2 linked regions of the Tamandua tetradactyla genome follow. The protein of the gene in region 1 binds, or shares a complex with, the protein of each later gene. Links are inferred from orthologs where the notes say so. Each region holds a gene or a part of one and is shown on either strand. Other genes may lie near its edges.

Region 1 (10,339 bases):
TTCCTTATAACAAATTTGCAATTAACTTTTTTCAGGATTAAGGTTTGAAACATAAAGTCATGACAGCTATACTTCAATTATTATTTGATTTACTGATATTTTCCAACACTAATCTGTGAGTCACCACTTTAAAGAGGGAAAAATTTGTTATAATTCATTTTTCCATTATGTGCTGCTTACTTCTAGTCTATTTCATATTAAAAAAAAGATATGAAAGTTTAAAGACAACACTTTTAACTTTTAATATAGGCATTCATTAAAAAACGTGCAGGTCTGTACAAAACGAACAGGTGTGTGTACAAAATGTTTAGGTCTGTACAATTTTAATATTTTTCTATAATTCACTGTATAGACAAAAATTTAGGAATAGAAGAACTGCTTCCTTAAATTGATTCTACATATTAATGGTCACCAGCAGAGAAAATATTAAGTTACTGCAGTCGCTAAAATAATGGACCTTATATTGATATGTTTTAGCTCCAACCAATAGAGCTGTTTCAGAGTCTCTGCTAGAAGTATATACATATATACATATTTTTCTGAATAGTCTAATTTTAAATTCTACCATCTCCTTCATATCCCAAACCTGGTGCTCAAAAAGAGGCACTACTCACTTTTTAGGCTGTCTTGCGTGCCTAAGAAATTCAGTACAAAAATATAGAAGTAGGGGGTACAAGGGCAGTTCAGTGGTAGAATTCTCGCCTGCCATGTGGGAGATCTTGGTTTGATTCCTGGCCCATGCATTTACCCCCTACCCCTCCAAAAAAATTTTTTTTCAACAAATGGTGCTGCAATAATGGGATAGTCACAAGGAAAAACAATGAAATGTAACCCCCACCATACACTATAACAATACATAAATACATACATACATAAATACATAATATATGGTAGGTATCAGTAAAGTTAATAATAAAAAAAAATTAACAAAACATGTACTAGCACTCTATATTCACGATCTTATTTAATAGCACCTATGGAGATTTTACCCAGGAGAAAACTTAATCTTAGGTTAAATAAACTGTCCAAGGTCATACATCTAATAAGTTGTTAGGGCCAGAATTTGAACCCAGCTCTGATTGGAAAATCTATTCTCGTAAAGTCTGCACTATATTGCTTTACATTTACATACCACGTTATTTTAAAATTATTTTCATATAGATCACCTAGGGCTTATCTCACCTGAATGCACAATAACTTTGAGAGGTAGGTTCTTAAATATCAAACCCTAGCTCTCCAATCCTAACTTTACTTAAAAGGACATATAACTAAAGTGGCATGATTGAAGACCTTATGATTTTAGTATAATGCTATACCATTTGTAGCACATGCAGAAACACTTTTTCCAGTTAGTACAACTTATTCCTCTTCCTTTCCCTCCCATATTTGGATGATAACCAAACCTTTTATAAACATTTGTTGTGAAAAGAATTACAATGATCACTGAATTAATCATAAGTTCATTTAAGGCTTATGTCTATTCTACTGACAAAGATTTGGATGCTTATTATTAGCAATTATATCTGGTACCTAGTGCATAACCTTAGGTGGCGATATGATCAGCAAGAGCTAAAGTTATTTAATTTTCTTGTCTAATTGCCAAATACTCTATAGTCAATAATTTATTCAATACCTATTAGTACTTCAGCACTCTGATGCTAAAACACAACAGCAGTAATGACTCTGTACTTGAACTCCTAGGAGCTTTAGTGAGGAACAGTCTAGCAAACAGTAATTAATAATCAATTCTATTTTTATTTTTTATTTATTTGACATGGGCAGGCTCTGGGAATCGAACCCGGGTCTCTGGCACGGCAGGCGAGAATTCTGTCAGAGTCACTGTTGCCTGCCCGCAAACAGTAATTAAATACAGTGTATTAAAAGTTAAAATAAATTGAAAGTATTGCATAATAGTTTATAGGACTAAGTGACTAGCTCTGCCGGTGGGAAGAAGGAAGAGCATTCTTGGTATGAACAGCAATCTGTAAAGGCAGTGAAATACAAGAAAAACCTCAAAGGAAGAGCAGAAGAGTGTCAGGGACCCTAACGCAAAAACCTTAGGTACCATTTAATACTGAATTGTGGAGCCACTGAATTTCCTAATGAACATTAAGATTTCTGCATGTAACACTCAAACTGATAAAGCTGGTCTCAGAAATGTCTTCCAAGCTTCAAATCACTTTGTGTGCGTGTGTGTGTGTGTTTGTGTGTGTGAGAGAGAGAGAGAGAGAGAGAGAGAGAGAGAATAATTCTGTCAAAGCTCTTTTCACCACTCATCTTTAGCTGCAATTCAGTTACCAATTCCTGCTGCTAATCTCACAGATTTCATCAGTGATCTAAATTATTGCTGTCATAAATTCCCTAAAATTGGGGGAATTGTGAAGTAAAATTGCAGACTCATTCAACCTCTTTCATATTGATGTTTTCCTTTAGTACTCTAAGCTTTTAGCTGTTTTTTCTTTTCTACTTTGGTCATAGCCAGCCAGGACTGGTTTGGACCTTCCACAGAACTTAAGCAATTCTCCTTATTTGGCTGAATGTCACCCAGGGCAATGAAGCAATACTGCTCTTTTTTTTTTTTTTCTGTCCTACAGAGATCAGGAAAGCCTCACACTGGAGCAAATTCATTGATAATACTATATATCTGCAGCAGGCATAGCTACATAAATTATCAAAAGATTAATACTATTGTGGATCTAAGTACAAAATGCCAAAACTGTACATCCAAAGGGGACAATTCTGGTCTTCTTCATTACTAGAGCAAAAAGCAAGTAAGAAAGACCTTTAAAGTTATGTTTTCTGTAAGGAGCATCAATAGGACAGTTTTTCTATTACTAACTTAATATAAAACTATTTTAAAATTGTTTTTATTTCAAAATTTTAATTAACTTTTTGTTCTCCTTAACAAAACAAGTTTATTGTACAAAATTTGGGAGACACAGAAATACAAAAATGAGTAATTGGGTCACATCCCAGTGATAATGATACCATCCTCCTCTTTGACAACTGTCTTTTGAATGGACTATTCATTTACATTGGTTTAACGAGACTTAACTGAGAACATGATTTTTCGGATTACAAAAAAGTGCAAATTAAATCTGTAATATCTGTGAGGCTTTTGGATGTAAAAGAACTAAAGAACTTTCTGAGTTTGCAATACAAACTGAAAAAGCCTCTTCCCTTGAGCAATAATAGTGTTGGGGGCAAAACATTAACTATTGGGCAAGACCTAGGCAAAACAATTTTTGTATTTTCACAAAACACTATTCATTAAAATATGTAGAAGTCACCTGGTATTTCACAAATGGAGAGAGCTAAGGAGGGCTGCAAAGCGCTACTTAAAACTGGTCAAGGATTTGACAGGAAGTAGCATTTAGGTAGGATTTTAGGGAGAAATAGCTTTATGTAAGAAGGTATATAGATAAGGACGTCCAAAACCAGAAAACATGGAGTCAGCAATATCCTAACTTAATCTTATCTTAAATTTATGGTCAAGTAAACTTAATTATATTCCATTTTCAGCCCGATCAGTTTCTGAAGAATTACTTTCCTTTCAGAAAAATCTAGTCACTTTTCCATAGGCTAGCCTGAACCTCTTCCAGTACGCGACGTTGCAACAATCTTCCAACGCCTCTTCATTCAACTGACACTGTCGCATTACCATCACCCCTGTTTTCAAGCTAGCATATATCCACTCTTTTAACAGTCCTCCCTCCCTCTTTTCACCATAAAATCTGAGGTGAAAGGTTCAACCTTGTTTTTAAAAACCTTTCCAGAACCACCCAAAGCATGTGGACACCTACAGAGCCCCTACGGCAGGGATGTCAGATAAAAACCTTATAATTACTGAGAAAGCACGTTCGCAAGCAAGCTCTTCGGTGACTCCGCAGAGAGGGTCATCCATATCAGTGACATTCTCTACCAAGCCTATCTCACCACAGACACTTCTTCCTCCAGGTTTTTTTCCTACTTCCTCGCTACTCAGCCCCGAGTTGGGGGAAAGGCGGCGCAGGTATTCTGCCAAAGAATGGGCTTTAGGGAATGAGACCGGGCGGCTGTTGCAGACCCCGAGGACTAGCTGAAGCAATACCACTTGTCGAAGTCCCAAGGACTTCCAATGGGAAACCACAATGGCCGCACGTACCCCCAACCCTGGAAAGAGTGGACATTCCAACCCCCAGGTAGCGGGGGCGGCCAAAGTAGGGAGCAGGGCTCAGTAGTACTAGAAAAATGAGCGCCTTTCTGGTGCAGGGTGACAATGGAGATGAAGGCCCCGGCAGCGACGGCCGCCTATCGCACTCCCCCACATCGCCCACCAACCCCTTCTACTATCCCCACCAGTCGCCGATTACCGGTCGCCGTTCACCTGCTGTGGCGCGAGGTGCAGAGACCAGTAAGGACCACGGACGCAGGAGCTCTGTCACCGCGGGCGGGGAAGTCTTCAGCTGCAGAGGGGGCGGGTCTAGACAGCACGTGACCTAGAGCTCCTCCCCGCCGCCTCCATCCGCGCGCACTTCATCTGAGAAGGCTCTATTTTTGTGGATCGTTTGCGCATTAAATTTTTCTGTTTGTGATTAAAGAAGAAGCGTAAACATTTATACAAAGTTTGTGTCATGAAGTGTAACGTAGGAAGCGTACACGACAAGGGTTAAGGTACATGCTAAGGAAGTGACGTCCAAGCCATAATCTAGTGACCGGAAATGGCGATAGAGTTCCCTTGCGGCGCACCAGCAAAATCCCAGGCTGTAAGGTTTGGACCAATCACGTCATCTTAAAGCTGGAGGCATGTGGAGGAAAGTCGAGTAAACCCGCCAGTTAATTGCGTTTGTGTCAAATCCACCTACTTTTATTTAAGTTTTTCACAGACTTATTTACATTTTCGAAGAACTGGTTTCAATAAAATCCTATTAGGAAACAGAAGCATTTGAAGGTCATTCTGGATACTACCAATTAGGAAGAAAGGGTGGGCGACGGTTGATATTGTTAACAGGGGAGAGAAAAAAGGATGAGTGGAAAAAATGGATTCTACCACCGAGGCCCCACAATTAGTGTTAAGGAGTAGGAAAAAGAGAATGCTAGAACGCCAAACCCAGTAAAATGAAGGCCCCGTACTGGAGGGGGAAGGGCGCACGAAGGGAAGTAGTGCGGCTGCGCGCGCGAAACGGCGGACGCGCCGGCGCGTAGAGGGGGTGGGGTGAAAGGTCACGGCGCCGCGGCGGGTCTGGCTGGCGGCGCGGCGGCGGGCTGGAGCCGAGCGCCCCGTGTGCACGTGTGGAGAAGCGGCGGCACCAACGCGGCGGCAGGAGACATCTCCGCCCCCTCTGGAGGCACAGGGCCGCGCTTGATTCTTGCGGCCTCCGACACCCGCTTTAGTTCCCTGCCCCAGGAGAGTAGACTGGCTTCTGGGGTTGAGTGGCCCGAGCTGAGGGCGCGAAGAGCTCAAGGCGGCGGCGACGACGGCGTTGATATCAGTGGTAACGACGGCCTCAGCAGGCGGAGAAGATGAAAGGGTGAGGAAGGGCAACTGGGCTGGGCCTGGTTGGCAGGGGAGAAACCCTGAGCCCGGGTAGAGGGAGGGAGGCAGCGAAAGAGAGGAGAGACTCTGAGAGAAGACAGGGCTGTCGTGAAGTGCCGGGCAGAGGGTGATTGCTGGGCTTCTCTGATCACTCCACTCACGGAGGGGGCGGAGGCGGGGCTCGGGTTGTTGGCGGGCTGAAGGACCAGCGGAGGTAAGACTCGGGAAACCCGAGGATTTTGGCCCAAAGGATAAATGTAGGCTGAACGGAGGTAGCGAATGAGTGGGGCAGCAGGGAAAAGCTATTGTGAGGCGTCTGTGGCCTCCTACCCGGAATGGACGGCCTGAGCCACCGATCAGTGTCCGCCCGCCACTCCAGGTGGAGTAGTCAATTTGTCCTCTTCTCCAGATGAGGATTAACACTGGAACTGCTGTCTTTCACACCGTGCAGTTTGATTCACACTTAGGAACCGTGCAGAACCTTCTGGAGGGGGGGAGGGGGAGGATTAGAATAAAGAGCATGGGTATGAGTATTAAGGGCTAGTGACTCAACTAGATTTGGGTTGGGTCAGAGCGGGTGGGGGAGGGGAGAAAGCTCGAGCGCTGTAGTCCTGGGGTGCCAAAACGTTTAAGGAAGTGTTGTTGATCGGTAGGTGGAGCTATTGCTTCAGTAGTTTACTGTTGCCCCTGACTGCTGAGTGGGGTCTTAGGGTGTTCATCTGATGCTTTTTTCAGACGCTTTGCAAAGTTTTTGTTTCCCTTCTAGTTAAAATTAGGGACTATTTTGATTTGACTGTTTCCAGTTGATAGAATGTCTCCTTAGTATTAAATATAACTCTTAAATAAGAATTATATAAGGCTATATTTTAAATCATTGCCTGAGTTAGTTTTGTAGCTTGTCTTCTCTACCCTCCTTAGAAAAAGAAATGAAAAAAAAATTTTTTTTTTTTTTGCATAGGCAGGCACCGGTAATCGAACCCAGGTTCTCTGGCATGGCAGGCGAGCATTCTTGCCTGCTGAGCCACCGTGGCCCGCCCTGAAAATTTATAAATATGAAAAGGTTTTAAGGTGCCTACGGTTTTTTCTCTTTAGTCAGTTAAATAAGTAACTTTTTGAGTTAGTGAAGTCTTTCAAACAGCCCTTTCGAAGATGAAATAAAGATAAGCTTAAGTAATCTCAGACTGTCTAGTGTGTGTTTATATATGTGTGTGTGTGTTAAAGAAGAGGTTCCAAGAAAGTTTTTTGTTCTTAGGTCTGTAATATGTTTTCTTACAATGATTTTCCTTTAAGTACAGGAAATTATTTCTAATGTTAAATTGTACATTTTGTATTAAAAAGTCTTTGAAATTAAGGATATTATGAAGAAATGTTCACAGTCCCTGCATTATATCCTATCAGTCCAGTAAGGAAACTAATTGAGGGGCTTAAAAAGTGTTTGCTGCATTCAAATCATGATCTAGGAAATGTGGCATGATCCAGCATAATTTGGGAGTGTTTTTTTTTTTTTAATCCTGGTAAGACTGCATTCCTTGAATATGGTTGTCGGCTCTTGTTTCTGTATTCTCATTGCCAGGCTCTCAGTACAAACTTGTCTTGTTCTCTTCAAGTAATAAAAAGGAAACTGAAGAGTTTCCAGTATGAGGCTGCTACAGATTTATAGAAGGGGGACTCTAAGAAATTATTCTGGGTGTTTCCAAATTTTTTGGTCTAGATCAGTGTAATTAGGAAGAAATATGTGTAATACCTAACATGGCTATACAGATGGAGCTATATAGTGGTATTATTCAGGTACTACATTCATTTAATATATCCATGAAGCAACTGTCTTTTTATTTAAATGAATATTTACGTGTAAGAGGTTACTAACTTGATGGGACAGAGCCCCAGAAATGAGTAATTAGCCAAACTTAGAGGAAACCTAAGGCAACACAGCTATTGAATTTGTACTTCATGCCAGCCAGCAACCATCCCTGGAATGAAGATTCCTTAAGTCTAGATCCTAGCACTTCTCATGATTGGGAGCTTAGAAATGTGTTCTTAACTGTAAACCTTAATTATGATTTTCCAGAAATAGTCACTTTAACTTCCCAGATGAACTGAAGTACAGGTAAGATGGTACTTTAAAAAAAAATTTTGCTTCTAAGTCTGTATTTAAGGTTTGAACACAAGAAGACAGTATACATTGTTTACAAGATTTTAACATCATTGAGTTCAGAGACTTAAATCACCAAGCAGAAGGCAATCAGTGTTATAGTCCTGACTCTTGATTTGTTGTCAGTTACTCTGTAGGTTTTGTATGGAATTTTATTTGCTAAGTTTTTATTGTATGTTGAGCTAACAGAACAGTAAGTTGGATAGAATACCTAAAATCTGAAACAATGAAGAACTCCTGATTCTGTATAGTTTAAATATTTTATGTTGTTTGTTTATATTCCATATCTATCATTTTAAACTTTTTGAATTTATCTCATTTTTCTTCATATATCTACCTAGTTTTCATTATTACCAGGAAGAAAATACTCCATTGTGTTAACATACATATTTGCCTTTCTCCATAGTAGAGAATTTCCTATTATTAATTATTGCATGTATTTAAAGGTCCAGTGTTTGAGATCTGTTACAAGAATGATGCTTTCTTTGTACTGAGGTTGCTTGTTTTTATGAATAAGGGACATTATATTTTGAATTTGTGGATGGCAAGCTGATTATTTTAATTATACTCCTCTCCAGGGAAGGTGAAACTCAAGCAAGAAGGTATGCCATAGACATCCATGACTGAGGTGGCAGTTAACTAGTCAATATAATAGAAAGCAGAAGTGAATCCATTTACTCTTCAGTTGTAGAAAAGGGGTATAAATTAGATCTCATAAAAATGTACTTAAAAAAATGCGTGATCAAGGTAAAGATGGGAAAGTAGAGAGTAGACACCAATAATATGTAGTATGTGCAACAATGTAGTTTACTAATTAAAACACTAAAAGTCATTTTCAGCAAATGCTACTAGAAAATAAAATTAAAGTATAAGAATCTTGGTCAGAAACTATGTTGAAGAATTCAAAATAATGGTTACCTCCAACTATGGCTGGGAGGGGACACAAGAGAGTCAGATTCTGAGATGCTAGAAATAGTCTGTGTTTTTCTGGATGTTGATTACATAGTTGTATACATATATTAAAAAAAAAGAAAGCTGTTGCATTGTACACACAATTTATACCCTTTACTGTATAACTTATACTTTTTTAACTTATTAAACAGCTTCTTTTTTCTTAATATTTTATTTATTAGACAGCTTCTTTTTCTTTTTTTTCTTAACGTTTTATTGCTGTTTTTGCCAGCAAAGCAATTTTTTTTTTAAAGCCCTTCAGACTAAAGTAAGAGTCAGCTTTTGTAAACCTGTGATTCATGATCCTCACTTCTGGGAAACCAGTAACTTGTGAGATGCTATTTGAGATGATGATTTTAACAAATACTCTTTAGTGTCCCCTTTGCTATATTGAGGTGAATATACCTGTACTGCAAGTTTTTTTTTTTAAATCAGTGTAATTCCCTATAACTTTAATATAAAGGAGAAATAAAAAGGAAAGTAAATTGTAATGAAATATTTATTTCATTATATAAATGGTCAGCTACAACTACACCATAGGATATAAGAATATCAGATTTCATATTTCTCTGTAAATAGAATAATTTTATAATTTAGGAAGTGATATCAGATACCAACAAGTATATGCATTGGTGGCTCAAGCTCTGTTGCCAACAGGGGTGTGATTTTCTTTTTTTTTTTTTTTTAATAATCCGTCCTCCACTTGTAGTCAACCATGGTAACGTTTTGGAAAAAAAACAAAGAATAATCAATAATTTCTGGGTTGGGAGATTTTTTTTTTTTAAGATTGTCTTTTAAAGATCTTCCAGAAGACAAAGCATTCTTCTATCACTTCAAGATAATATGCCCTGTTTCTCAAACTTTCAAACTGCTGTTATGTGAATGTCACTCCAGATATGATTAGTAGAATGGGGAGGTGGGACTGTTGTCATCATTGTTCTGAATAGTATATGCCTGTTATTGCAATTTATGGTCAAATTAATTTTACACTGTTGTATATTAACTGTACTTTCAACGAAAATCCCTTCCTGAGGCTTATGCAGATTTCAACCATTGTCTTTCAACTGATATCTATTAGTTTTCAACTGATAACTTCATTTTGCTACATCCTCTATTTTGGACTGTGGAAGTCATTTTGTCTCCTGGTTTTGTCTTCCAAACATCAACTAGGACTTTCAGCTTTGTACCATCTGAAGAGATACGCTTTCTCAATTATTCAGATGTTTGTCCTTCAACTTTTTTTTTTTTTAACAACCTCACAATAACCAATAGAACACCAGTAGTTAACTAATAGGAACTTCCTTTCCATCGAGGAATTAATAATTGTTGGATTGTAGTTTAATAGCTACAAAATTACATTGTTGTGCCGTCACCCAAACTAGCTTTCTCTTTATATTTCTTCCTCCATCATTTCCTATTTACATTCATTCAGTATCTAATTTATTGGCAAAGTGTTAGGTCTGTGGTGTCCAATATAGTAGTGGCTAGTTAAAGTGGCTGTTGGGTAACTGAATTGTGAGTTGTATGACTGAGGAATAGAATTTTAAAATTTAATTAAAAATTTTAAACTTATACAGTCTGTTATTGGACAGTTTTTAAGTATGGAATGACTTGGATATGTGGATCTTCTTTTTCAGCTATACATTTTATGAAATATAAATACAGACCAAAATATTTCTAAGGGAAATTACATGAATTGAGATGTGCTGTAAGTGTACTAC
Region 2 (10,024 bases), on another chromosome or scaffold:
CTGAGATTTAGAGTTAGAGCTCTGAAGCTATGAAAGTCAATAGTATCCCATACAGTAACTGTTTAAAAAATTGAAAAAGTGATCAGCCATCAAACAGAGATATGAATGAAGCTTATCTGCATAGGACTAAAGTATATCAGAAGACTGGGTAAAGGATGATATCATCCATATTTTAAAACTTCAACTTCTGTGTGAGACTAAAGGGAGAGATGATGTTTATTTGATGCCAAGTTTATATGTTGGGTAGTGCATTTCCTAATTTAACTTGTATGGTCAGTTTAACTGAACACAGTAAGTACATGGAATCTTGAATAGGGCATGAGATTCTGTAGGTTTGTCTAGAGTGATGCCTCAGTAAATCCCAGAAAGATTTGAACAGTGAATAAAAAGGTATTTGCAAAGTCTCCTTGTGGGAATGGTGAGAAAGGGGGAAAATTCAATTTCCCCAAGCGGAGAATTCTTGATATTCTCATAAGCAGTGGGGACAATCAAAGCAATAGGCTGAGCCCCCAATCTTGGGGTTTGTTCATGTGAAACTTAACCCTTGCAAAGGACAGGCTGAGCCTACTTAAAATTAGACCTTTCTCTTTCTCCCTCAAGAGAACCTCTTTTGTTGCTCAGATGTGGCTTCTCTCTCTCAGGCAAGATGACAAGCAAACTCACAGCCCTCCCTCTCTACATGGGACATGACTCCCAGGAGCGTGGACTTTCCTGGCAATGTGGGACAGAAATCCTAGAATGAGCTGGGACTCAGCACCAAGGGATTGAGAAAACATTCTCCGCTGAAAGGGGGAATTGAGAAATGAGACAAAATAAAGTGTCAATGGCTGAGAGATTCCAAACAGAGTTAAGAGGTTATCCTGGAGTTTATTCCTACACATTAAATAGATACCACCTTTTTAGTTAAGGCTTAACAGAGACGCTGGAGGGAACTGCCTGAAAATGTAGAGCTGTGTTCCAATAGCCATGTTTCTTGAAGATGATTATATAATGACACAGCTTTCGCAATGTGACTACATGATTGTGAAAACCTTGTGTCTGATGCTCCTTTTATCTACCTTATCAACATATGAGTAAAACATATGGAATAAAGATGAATAATAGGGGGAACAAATGTTAAAATAAATTTAGTAGATTGAAATGCTAGTGATCAATGAAAGGGAGGGGGCAAGGGGTATGGTATGCATGAATTTTTCTTTGTTTTCTTTTTATTTCTTTTTCTGAATTGATGCAAATGTTCTAAGAAATGTTCATGATGATGAATATACAACTATGTGATAAAAAAGTTCATATTGAAAAAACACAAATACTAATCATTTTATTAATCTGTAAATGACTCTACGTAACAAATGGCATATATGACTCCCGAGCAGTGGCAAATTAAACTTATACTGAAGTCTGCTAAACTCATTTTAATATTTTCCCATCAGAAACCAATACCATAGTCAAGAAAGTAACAGCAGAAATTGACATTTCTATTCTATGCTAGATATAATTTAATGATGAAATAAAAATGTTTATACAATAAAATTTAACAGCAGATTGGATGACCAAGGCACTTATAGTGATTTGTAAAAGGGGACATAATTTCATATCACTGGTGGTATTAATCAATGCAAAATAGCAATTATTATACCTTGAGGCTAAATTCTCAGATTATACTGAAATTCTTCTGCAATAGAGTTAAAGTTACTGTCACAATTTTGTAGCCGAAAGGGACTTCAAATATTATATTAAAGATCAAGAAAATGAGGCTCAGAGAAGTGGAGCACTTTCCCACAGTTACTCAGAGAAGAAAAAGCAGGGCAGGAACTTGAATCACAGATTTCTGTCTCTAGTGATCTGCCCAAGGCTCAAAGTAAGGGACAAACCTAGTACCTAACCATACGACATGCTGCCTCCCAGTAAAGATTACAAGTAGCATCAGATGATAGCTCTGTTTGAAAGAGCTATCAGTAGTTGACTTTGCACCGACTGTCCTCATCAGAAGTCTAGCCAACTAAAGCAGGTTGAGCTTCCAGCATGAGCAGGAATGTGTACATGAAACACACCGTATTGTTTACACTAAATGCCAGAATTTGGGCTCAAAGACCTGGATCAAATTTAAGTCAAACCCTAGTACTGAAGATTCCATGAAGTTCACAGTATGAAGGTGAATAGATTAAGTTCTCCACGCTGATTTTTATTTCCTCCTAGGTAACGGCATCTCTGTGACATGAACAAATTTCATTTATTGAGACTCTAAAAATGACATACACTCTTAACCCAAGGGGGCTTATAGCTAATATGTAATAATAGAACCTGGATTTGACAGACCTCTGTTGACTCCAAATCCTTCATGCCTCTTTTGCTTTTACTCTAAACTTGTTTTGATTTCTCTTGTGCATAAGTGCGCCTAAGCAACATTTAACAAAATAATTTTGTCTTATCCTTACAGTATTTGAACTGTCTGTATAACAGTAATCATCAGTATATGTTCTAGCCCAGGTCTTAAAAATTTTTTCTTTTACAAGTTTCAGAGCTACTTACCCCTACAAAAAATATTTGACCTTCAGGATGATGACTTTCTTTCCAGATGAATCAAAGACATATGATTCCATGACAAAGCACCTTTGTCAGGCCATAGGAAAATATTTAGAGAAGGAATTACTTCCTGCATCTGATTTTCCTCTCAGGCAGCAAGCTACCTACTCTCAAGTACTCTCAAACTGCAATTTTTGCTTTCACATTTTTCTCACCTCTAAATCCCAAACAAAGTAAAAGTTCCAAAATAAAAGCAAGAAATGTTAACATTCTTATCTATTTTCACATCTATTGCCCTTCTACACAATTAGTTTGCTTCTATCTAATACATACAGCTAAGAGAAAGCCAACAGGTGAAGGTAAAGAAAGCATTCATTTTATTAAGAGCTGTAGCCAACCTAGCAGAGATGGGCCTTTGAGTTTGAATATAACTGTTTAATTGTATTCTCAGATTCTATGTAGGACGACAATCAAACAATCTAATGCCAGAGGCAAATCTGATTTTCTGCCTCCTCACTGAAAAAAAGGAGAGAAGGTGGAGGACAACACAAATAAGAACATTTTTACTCTCTGCAACTCCACAATCTGTTAAGGGGATTTGAGAAAAATTTTCAAACTGGCCAAAAACCTGGGGTACAGTTCTTTCTTCTGCCAAAGAGTTCGGACCCAAAGAAATCGTATCCTACGGCTAAGCAGACTCCAAGGCAAAAATTTGTTCAAGCAACATTTTTTGTGTACTTTCTAAATGTGTAAATATTGAAGACACTTTCAACCTGGAGTGCTAACATTCTAGCGGGAGAGAAATGTATGTAAACAAATATCACTTCATCAGGCAACGGAGGTCTGAACAAGGTGTAGTGGTGATGGCGTGCCTCAGAAACACAGGATGTCTTTTCAGGGCAGGTGGAGTTTTGGAAAATGAATAGGACGATTCAAGATCTCTGACGTCCATACAAGAGTGATTCGATTCTATCGCTAATTTGGTTTACATGCCCCTTCTCCACTCCAGTAAACTTCCCTTTTCAGATAATTTACCAAATCTCATTTGTTTGTCTTCCTCACCACTAAACTGTAAGCTCTGTGAGGACAGGAATGCGAAGATTCAGTCATATAAATCCAATGCCCGTCTCAGGGCCTGGCACATAGCAATGTTTCGTGAAATGGGTGACTTTTCACAAAAGTCAGGGCGCCTGTTCCTATAACCTGAATCATTCTGTCCGATCTGTAACATTCAAGAGGACTGGGTGTGGGCGCTCTTCGGGAGCGTTCACCACAGACCACGAAGTAAGAAGCTGAGGGCAGTTCAAGAGGGACTCAAGAAACAAGGTACCTAGCTGCTGGTTCAGAATATGGAGGTACCGCATTCCGGGCAGGCGTTCCTGAACCTACGGGTGTCACGCGACACATTCTCTTACTTACATTCGCGAGGGAAAGATCTCAATTCGGTCTTTGCCCGACATTCTGACGATGACTGTACGGCTCTGGTCCCCGCCGGGCAATCGTGGCTGCAATAGTTCCAGTCCTCGCACGCCACTACCGGAGTCAGGGGGTTGGGTCACGAAACCCCTCCCGTTGCTAAGAGGCAGCGGGATATGCACTCTTCACTTCCGCTTCCTGTCGGCATAGGAGGAGGAGGGCTGGGAAGGAGGTAATGCCCGGATGTTGAAGCTCTGGCTCCGCGAACTGTCACTGGATTCCGGTTCGCCTGTAGTCCGATGGCTGCGCCTGGCGCTGCGTGCGCCGGCCTAAAGGGAAGAGAACACTCCTTGTCTTCTTCCACTTTCCGTCTTTGTCCACAGCGCCACCACGTGGTTGACGAAAACTTTGATAAAGGATTCATTCTTCAGGGACAAGGAGTCACAGTCCTACCTCTCGCGCGCGCCTTAAAGATTTCTCAGGGAACAATAAAGATAACGAGAACGAATACTATTCAAATCCTGCTGTGACCCTCATTCTTCCTAGTTCTCGGAGGACCTCGACTCTATGATCAGTGATGTAGGGCCTCTACTCTGTTAGCGCTTGCGTGGTACGAGGTGGTTCCGCATGCGCGGTGGGGTCGAGCAAAGCGCACGCTGAGGCGGATCGGTGGTTGGTGCGGATCGGTGGCTGGTGCGGGTGGAACAGGTTTCATCTACCCGGTTACAGATCGCGGCGCGGGACCCCAGTACGGAATTCGGACACATTCCTCAGGTGACTGGTGCCCCAGCTCGGTTTCTCCAAGAACTCACTTTGGTTTGTGTCCTGTGACCTGGGTGGTCGAAAGAGGGTAGGCCCCGGGCTAACACCCCCTCCCTTTCCCGTCCGTGCGCGGGAAGTATTTGGACACCGCCACCGTCCCCCGGATGTGTAGCAAGCCTCCTTGCCGGCTCGGTGTCGGTCTTTCAGATTCCAGAGGCATCACTGTACGTGCGAGGAAATCTGGTGATGACAAGTTAAACAGTACACCCTCTTCAGTGGGTTTAAAGTGAGGATGACTTAAGGTGGGGCGGCTTGGAGAGGACGCTCTGACACCTCCCAGCTCCAGGACGCTGAGTGCTTTGTTTTTTTCCGGGCCTGAGAATTCCATCCCTTTTTCCTTCCTCCCCAGTAATACTACCAAAATTTTTCCTGCCTCTTGATGAAGGCAGAAGTGTCCAGATCGAATCAGTGAGAACGGCCACCGTGTGGAAATGACCTGAGGTAACGAAGGTCCGAGAATAGTTTATTCATTTGATAATTTGTTTTTAAAAATCGAAGTTTAATTACCCTATCGCTCTAGTTGTATGTTTCTGTAGCAGGCGTTATCCCTTGAATTGAAACTAAATCCTATTACTGAGGTCTGTTACTCTTAGTGTCAGTTTACCACATTTTGGCGATGATACGACTAGAACTGTAGAATTACACACTGTGGGAATATAAAAGCATAAGATAGGAGTACTTGAGGGTTAAATACTTACTCAGCCTTACATCCCTTCAATTAACTTATGCTGTTTTAATTTTCATTTAACAGGAAACATTGTTTCTTGGAGAAAATGTGTAACAGAAATCTTGACATTTTTTCCCGACTGAATTGTTATTCAAGAAAAAAAATTGTTTTTCAGAAGTTTGGGCATTACTTATACATAACTTTGGTGCTTGTTCTCAGTTCTTTTTTTGCCAAGACACAATCGTGATTGTCAAAAGTTTTGGCTGCCTGATCCACAGTAACGTTTGCAATCTTGATGATACCTCAACTACAGCGAAAAAGTTTGTTTTGTGTAGTATTCATATACTAAAATCTAGCATTCAGAAAACACAACTGGTAAGAGCTAAATTAAAATTATCAGTGGTGTTGTTGTTATGCAGTAAGCTTTAATTTGGAAAAGATGGACTTCCTGCTTTTATTGTGGTGAGTTATGACTGGTTTAAGAAAGAACTTCTAACCTATTACATGAGCAGGCAAAATTTATTGACAATGCAGGAATCTGAAATTAGCGTATAGTTCAGTTAATACATTTTGAAAGTGGATGATGCTCTAGATTTGATGTCAGAAGACTTAGGTTTAGCTGCTGCACATCCACTTGTTAAACAGTTGTCCTTGAGAAAGTCATTTAATATTTCCATTCCTGGGTTCCCTGTTAATCGAGTGCTATACTGTGCTCCTTTCAGAACACCTTATTTTGTATTTAATTTGCTTACTAGTTTGTTTCCCACTTTATGCTTAATTCCTTAGGTAGGATCTTTTCTTGTATCAACAGTACATAGTAGATATGGTTTAATGTATTAAATTATAAAATGGAATTAAGACCTCCTTTGCCTTTTAATATCTTATGTTTTGTAGAACTTTACAGTTTTCAAGATGTTTTCGCATATATTTGATCTTGTTTAACCCTTAACAAACCTGTCAGATATGTGGCACAAACAAGAAAATTGGAGTTCAAAGAGGGTACCTTTCTCAAGCAACCACAGCTAATAGCTAGGACCCAAGCACTGGAACTCAAGGCTGTTTCCAAAGTTCACTGTACTGCTTGCCTGGCTTGAGGCTTGTTGTTGAAGACAAAATATTCTTTAATCATAGTGCCTTGAAAATGATAAAGGACTGAATGGATACCTAGTGTGGTTTCTGGTTTCCTGACTGTTAAAAAAAATTAGTGTAATTATTAGTATTTCATAAGTAGATGTATTCAAATCTCTCAATTAAAATGTAGTTTCTTTATGAAGTTAATTATTTCTTACTAGCTACTTTTTTCTTTAATGTTAATAACATACAGAAATCATCCTTTTAGCCCAGGTATTACAAAGGATCTTACTTCCTAAAGAAGTATCACTCATCGCTCCCTTCAGGATTCTTTCACAATATTGCCTGTGTTCTTTAGCCATAAACTTAAGCCTTGCTTCCCCAAAATTACCAACTTTGATATTTGAAGAAAGTTGATGGGTAAATGTGGTTAACACCTGTTAAATCTTTTAGAACTGTCATGCATTTCCATTACATTTATTTTGACATACAATTTGAAACTTTTTGGCTCTCAAATTTGAGCACTTTATTTATAGACGTCTGTCTGACAGCAATTGTTCGTCCTCTGCCTCTCTCCCAAAAAACACCCTGTTTAAAAACAAAACAACTAGCTCAGCTGTATCTTGGTGGATAATTCTGGCCATTGACTGTCTAGTTTCTGTCATTTGCTAGATCCCTTTTGTAGGCTGCTACAAAAGAAATACATCTCTGCCACTGTTACTTATATGCTGCTTTTTTGGCTGTTGTTAAACAGGATAGGTTAGTACTAATAGTGTGCACCAATCTGTGGTATATGTTTCAGAGTCACATATGTATGTTAGTTGCTTTTTGTTTAAGTTAGATGTTTCTAATTGTAATCTTTTTGTTGATAATACTGAAAAGAATAGCTGGGTGGATAAGGGCAGATTCTGGATCGAAACTGGGTTCAAATTTTGGCCCTATCAGTCAACAGTAGTATGAAGGGACAAGTTGCTTAAACTGTACTTCAGTTTCTTCATCTATAAAATACGGAAAACTAGGGGGGGAGTGGTACCTTGGAGAGATAAACAGTGACCAGATTATATAGAGGACCCTGTAGGTAGTAACAATGTGTGTAAGTTACTAGGCCCCACCGGGAAGATATGTGTGTGCCATTTAACATTGCAGCAGAACTCTAGTGTTTCATGAGCTGGATGTGGAGGCTCTGTCAGTAAGATCTGTCAGTAAGATTTCCCAACTTACAAGAAAAAAATAAGTTGCTAAGTAATTTTTCACAAATTTTCCTTATATCTTTAGGTCCTGTTATTCCTTATCTTCTGAACTCTGACAACACTAAATAGTTCTTAAGGTTAACAGAAGAGCATGAAGATAATCAGCCATGATTAGTTTGAGCCCTTCCTTTTTAAAAATACACATCGACCAAGGGTATGATTTCAGGATTGTGAGTCATATCAATGGAAGTAATATGAGGTATTTCATGTTAGCTGAAGAATAACTTCCAGGTGCTCTACCAAGTAAATTTGAGAACCACTTGTAGAAAAAAGGTGTGGTACTGCAAGTAGCTTGGGTGGATCAAAGGGAATAGTTTTAAATATATTTAATGCTTGGAGGTTGAGAGAAGCTTGAGCTTTATAGTAATGGAAATCTGTAAGGCTGTTCTCAAGAATAGATATGCCTAGTCAACAACAAAAAAAGTAATTTGGAAATAATATGGAAAGTAAAAGCTAGAAAGTATGGTACTTGTGAATTAAACTCAAGCTCATTTTAAAAGAAAATTGAGAGGATGCATTTTAGTTAAGTTTAATATCTTTTGTGATTGACATGTTTTTTTTGTTTTTATATCCTTGACGAATGATACTGTAATTTTGGCAATGAGAAATGATAGGATTTTCTTCCCTTATTGATTAGTGCCAACGTTTAGGTAATCAGAACATTTCCTCCCTTCATAGTGTGGGGGTGGTAGCATGTACAGTCTTAGCTGACTTGGTTAAGAGTAGCTTTAGTTTTGCTGATAGGCTTGAAATAGTAGTGATGCTTCCCATCATTTGGCATTCCTTAAAGTGTTGTTATTAAAATAGTATTTTACCTTTGAGGTGTACCTTTGATTCTTAGGTCTCAGAATACTTTATAGATGGTCATTAGTTTTTATGATTCCTCTGAAACTGATGGCAGAGAATCACGCAAGCCTCACATAAATGTGGAGCAAAATAAAAATTAAGGCTTGGTTCCTGTCAAGACCTATTGGATGTTTATTCAGTGTAACCTCCCTTCTACTAACCATCTGATCTTTATTCTAAGATTGTACAAAACTGATAATGGTTTTCTGAATTCTGTATTTGAACATCTATCTGTTTTCTGGTACCAGAAAGAAGTTTAAAAATGTGAAAAGACTAGTAAGCTATATTTTCCTTTATCTTTGTTTTCTTTCAGGGGCAAGATGTAGAAAATTAATTTTTCTTTATTTTGACTATAATAGATAACTTATTTGATTATTTTGTTTAAATTGCAGAATGCCAGGTTTAAGTTGTAGATTTTATCAACACAAGTTTCCTGAGGTGGAAGATGTAGTGATGGTGAATGTAAGATCCATTGCTGAAATGGGGGCTTATGTCAGCTTGCTGGAATACAACAACATTGAAGGCATGATTCTTCTTAGTGAGTTGTCCAGAAGGCGCATTCGATCTATAAACAAACTCATCCGAATTGGAAGGAATGAATGCGTGGTTGTCATTAGAGTGGACAAAGAAAAAGGTAAGTGAGAAAAATATCCAAAATATAATTCCAATTTCTGGTGTTAAAAAGAAATTGATTTAGGGTGGGCCACGGTGGCTCAGCAGGCAGAGTTCTCACCTGCCATGCCAGAGGTCCCAGGTTCGATTCCCGGTACCTGCCCATGTTAAAAAAAAAAGAAAGAAATTGATTTAAAAATTTTTTTGTCAATTTAACCACTTTTATTTTAAAAAATAGAACTTTTATACTTAAACTCTTTTACATACAAAGTTTTTAGAGAAGGATGCCAGTTAGCCATCTAACCAAGATTCAGTTTACTATGGTTTAATTCATTCATTCAGGTGCTAGCTTTGTGGGTCAAAAAACTTTAGTTTTATCCCAACAAATTATCAGGACCTTGGTAATTAACTCATGTTGGCCAAACTCAGAAGGGACAGATAAGTAAACTAGAGTACTAGTTCATTAATATACATTGGTATGTTGATTTAAAGCTAAATTAGTTTCAGATTACTGGGTGAGCAAGAAATGGTGCCAAGGTGCCTTGATTTTTAAAAACAGTTGTTGGAATATTTTATATAACCTTTGAGAAAGCTCACCCCCTTATCTCAAACCCAGTATTATATATCTCTCTAATTAGAGTATCTGTGTCTCCCAGATCCTGTATGACTCTTTCAGATAGTGCTGGATGAGTAGTAATTTTTTTTTACTTATTAAGTGCCTTTTTTTCTGGGCCCCATATAAACCATCACCTTTGTGACCAAATTTTTCTAAACACAGTGTATAATGCCATTAAATAGGACTTGGTTTCACCTGGCT

The links. Proteins that work in one complex are often made in the same cells at the same time.
Region 2: the proteins of ATP6V1A (region 1) and ATP6V1D are in contact, whole or in part, in a cryo-EM structure (PDB 9B8P), measured with the Rattus norvegicus proteins. The link is inferred for Tamandua tetradactyla from reciprocal best matches to the Homo sapiens genes ATP6V1A and ATP6V1D. Residues at the interface, in NP_001101788.1 of Rattus norvegicus: Ala366, Met368, Pro369, Ala370, Asp371, Ser372, Asp416, Ser418, Asp436, Lys438, Glu491, Gln494, Leu495, Val496; in NP_955418.1 of Rattus norvegicus: Lys4, Asp5, Arg6, Arg167, Ala171, Val175, Ile176, Arg179, Tyr186, Glu190, Arg194, Glu197, Tyr200, Arg201, Lys204, Ile205, Lys208.

Annotation. Positions count from the first base shown.
Region 1 is NC_135336.1:32,902,269-32,912,607, forward strand, and holds the start of ATP6V1A (V-type proton ATPase catalytic subunit A), read right to left. Parts: upstream 4,494-10,339; 5' UTR 4,367-4,493; exon of another isoform or gene 4,353-4,366; intron 1-4,352. Other genes in the region: NAA50 (N-alpha-acetyltransferase 50), read left to right, coding at 5,503-5,510. UniProt on the Homo sapiens protein: Catalytic subunit of the V1 complex of vacuolar(H+)-ATPase (V-ATPase), a multisubunit enzyme composed of a peripheral complex (V1) that hydrolyzes ATP and a membrane integral complex (V0) that translocates protons.
Region 2 is NC_135338.1:24,873,397-24,883,420, forward strand, and holds the start of ATP6V1D (V-type proton ATPase subunit D), read right to left. Parts: upstream 4,271-10,024; 5' UTR 3,984-4,270; coding exon 3,943-3,983; intron 3,921-3,942; exon of another isoform or gene 3,854-3,920; intron 2,611-3,853; exon of another isoform or gene 2,530-2,610; intron 1-2,529. Other genes in the region: EIF2S1 (eukaryotic translation initiation factor 2 subunit 1), read left to right, coding at 8,989-9,229. UniProt on the Homo sapiens protein: Subunit of the V1 complex of vacuolar(H+)-ATPase (V-ATPase), a multisubunit enzyme composed of a peripheral complex (V1) that hydrolyzes ATP and a membrane integral complex (V0) that translocates protons.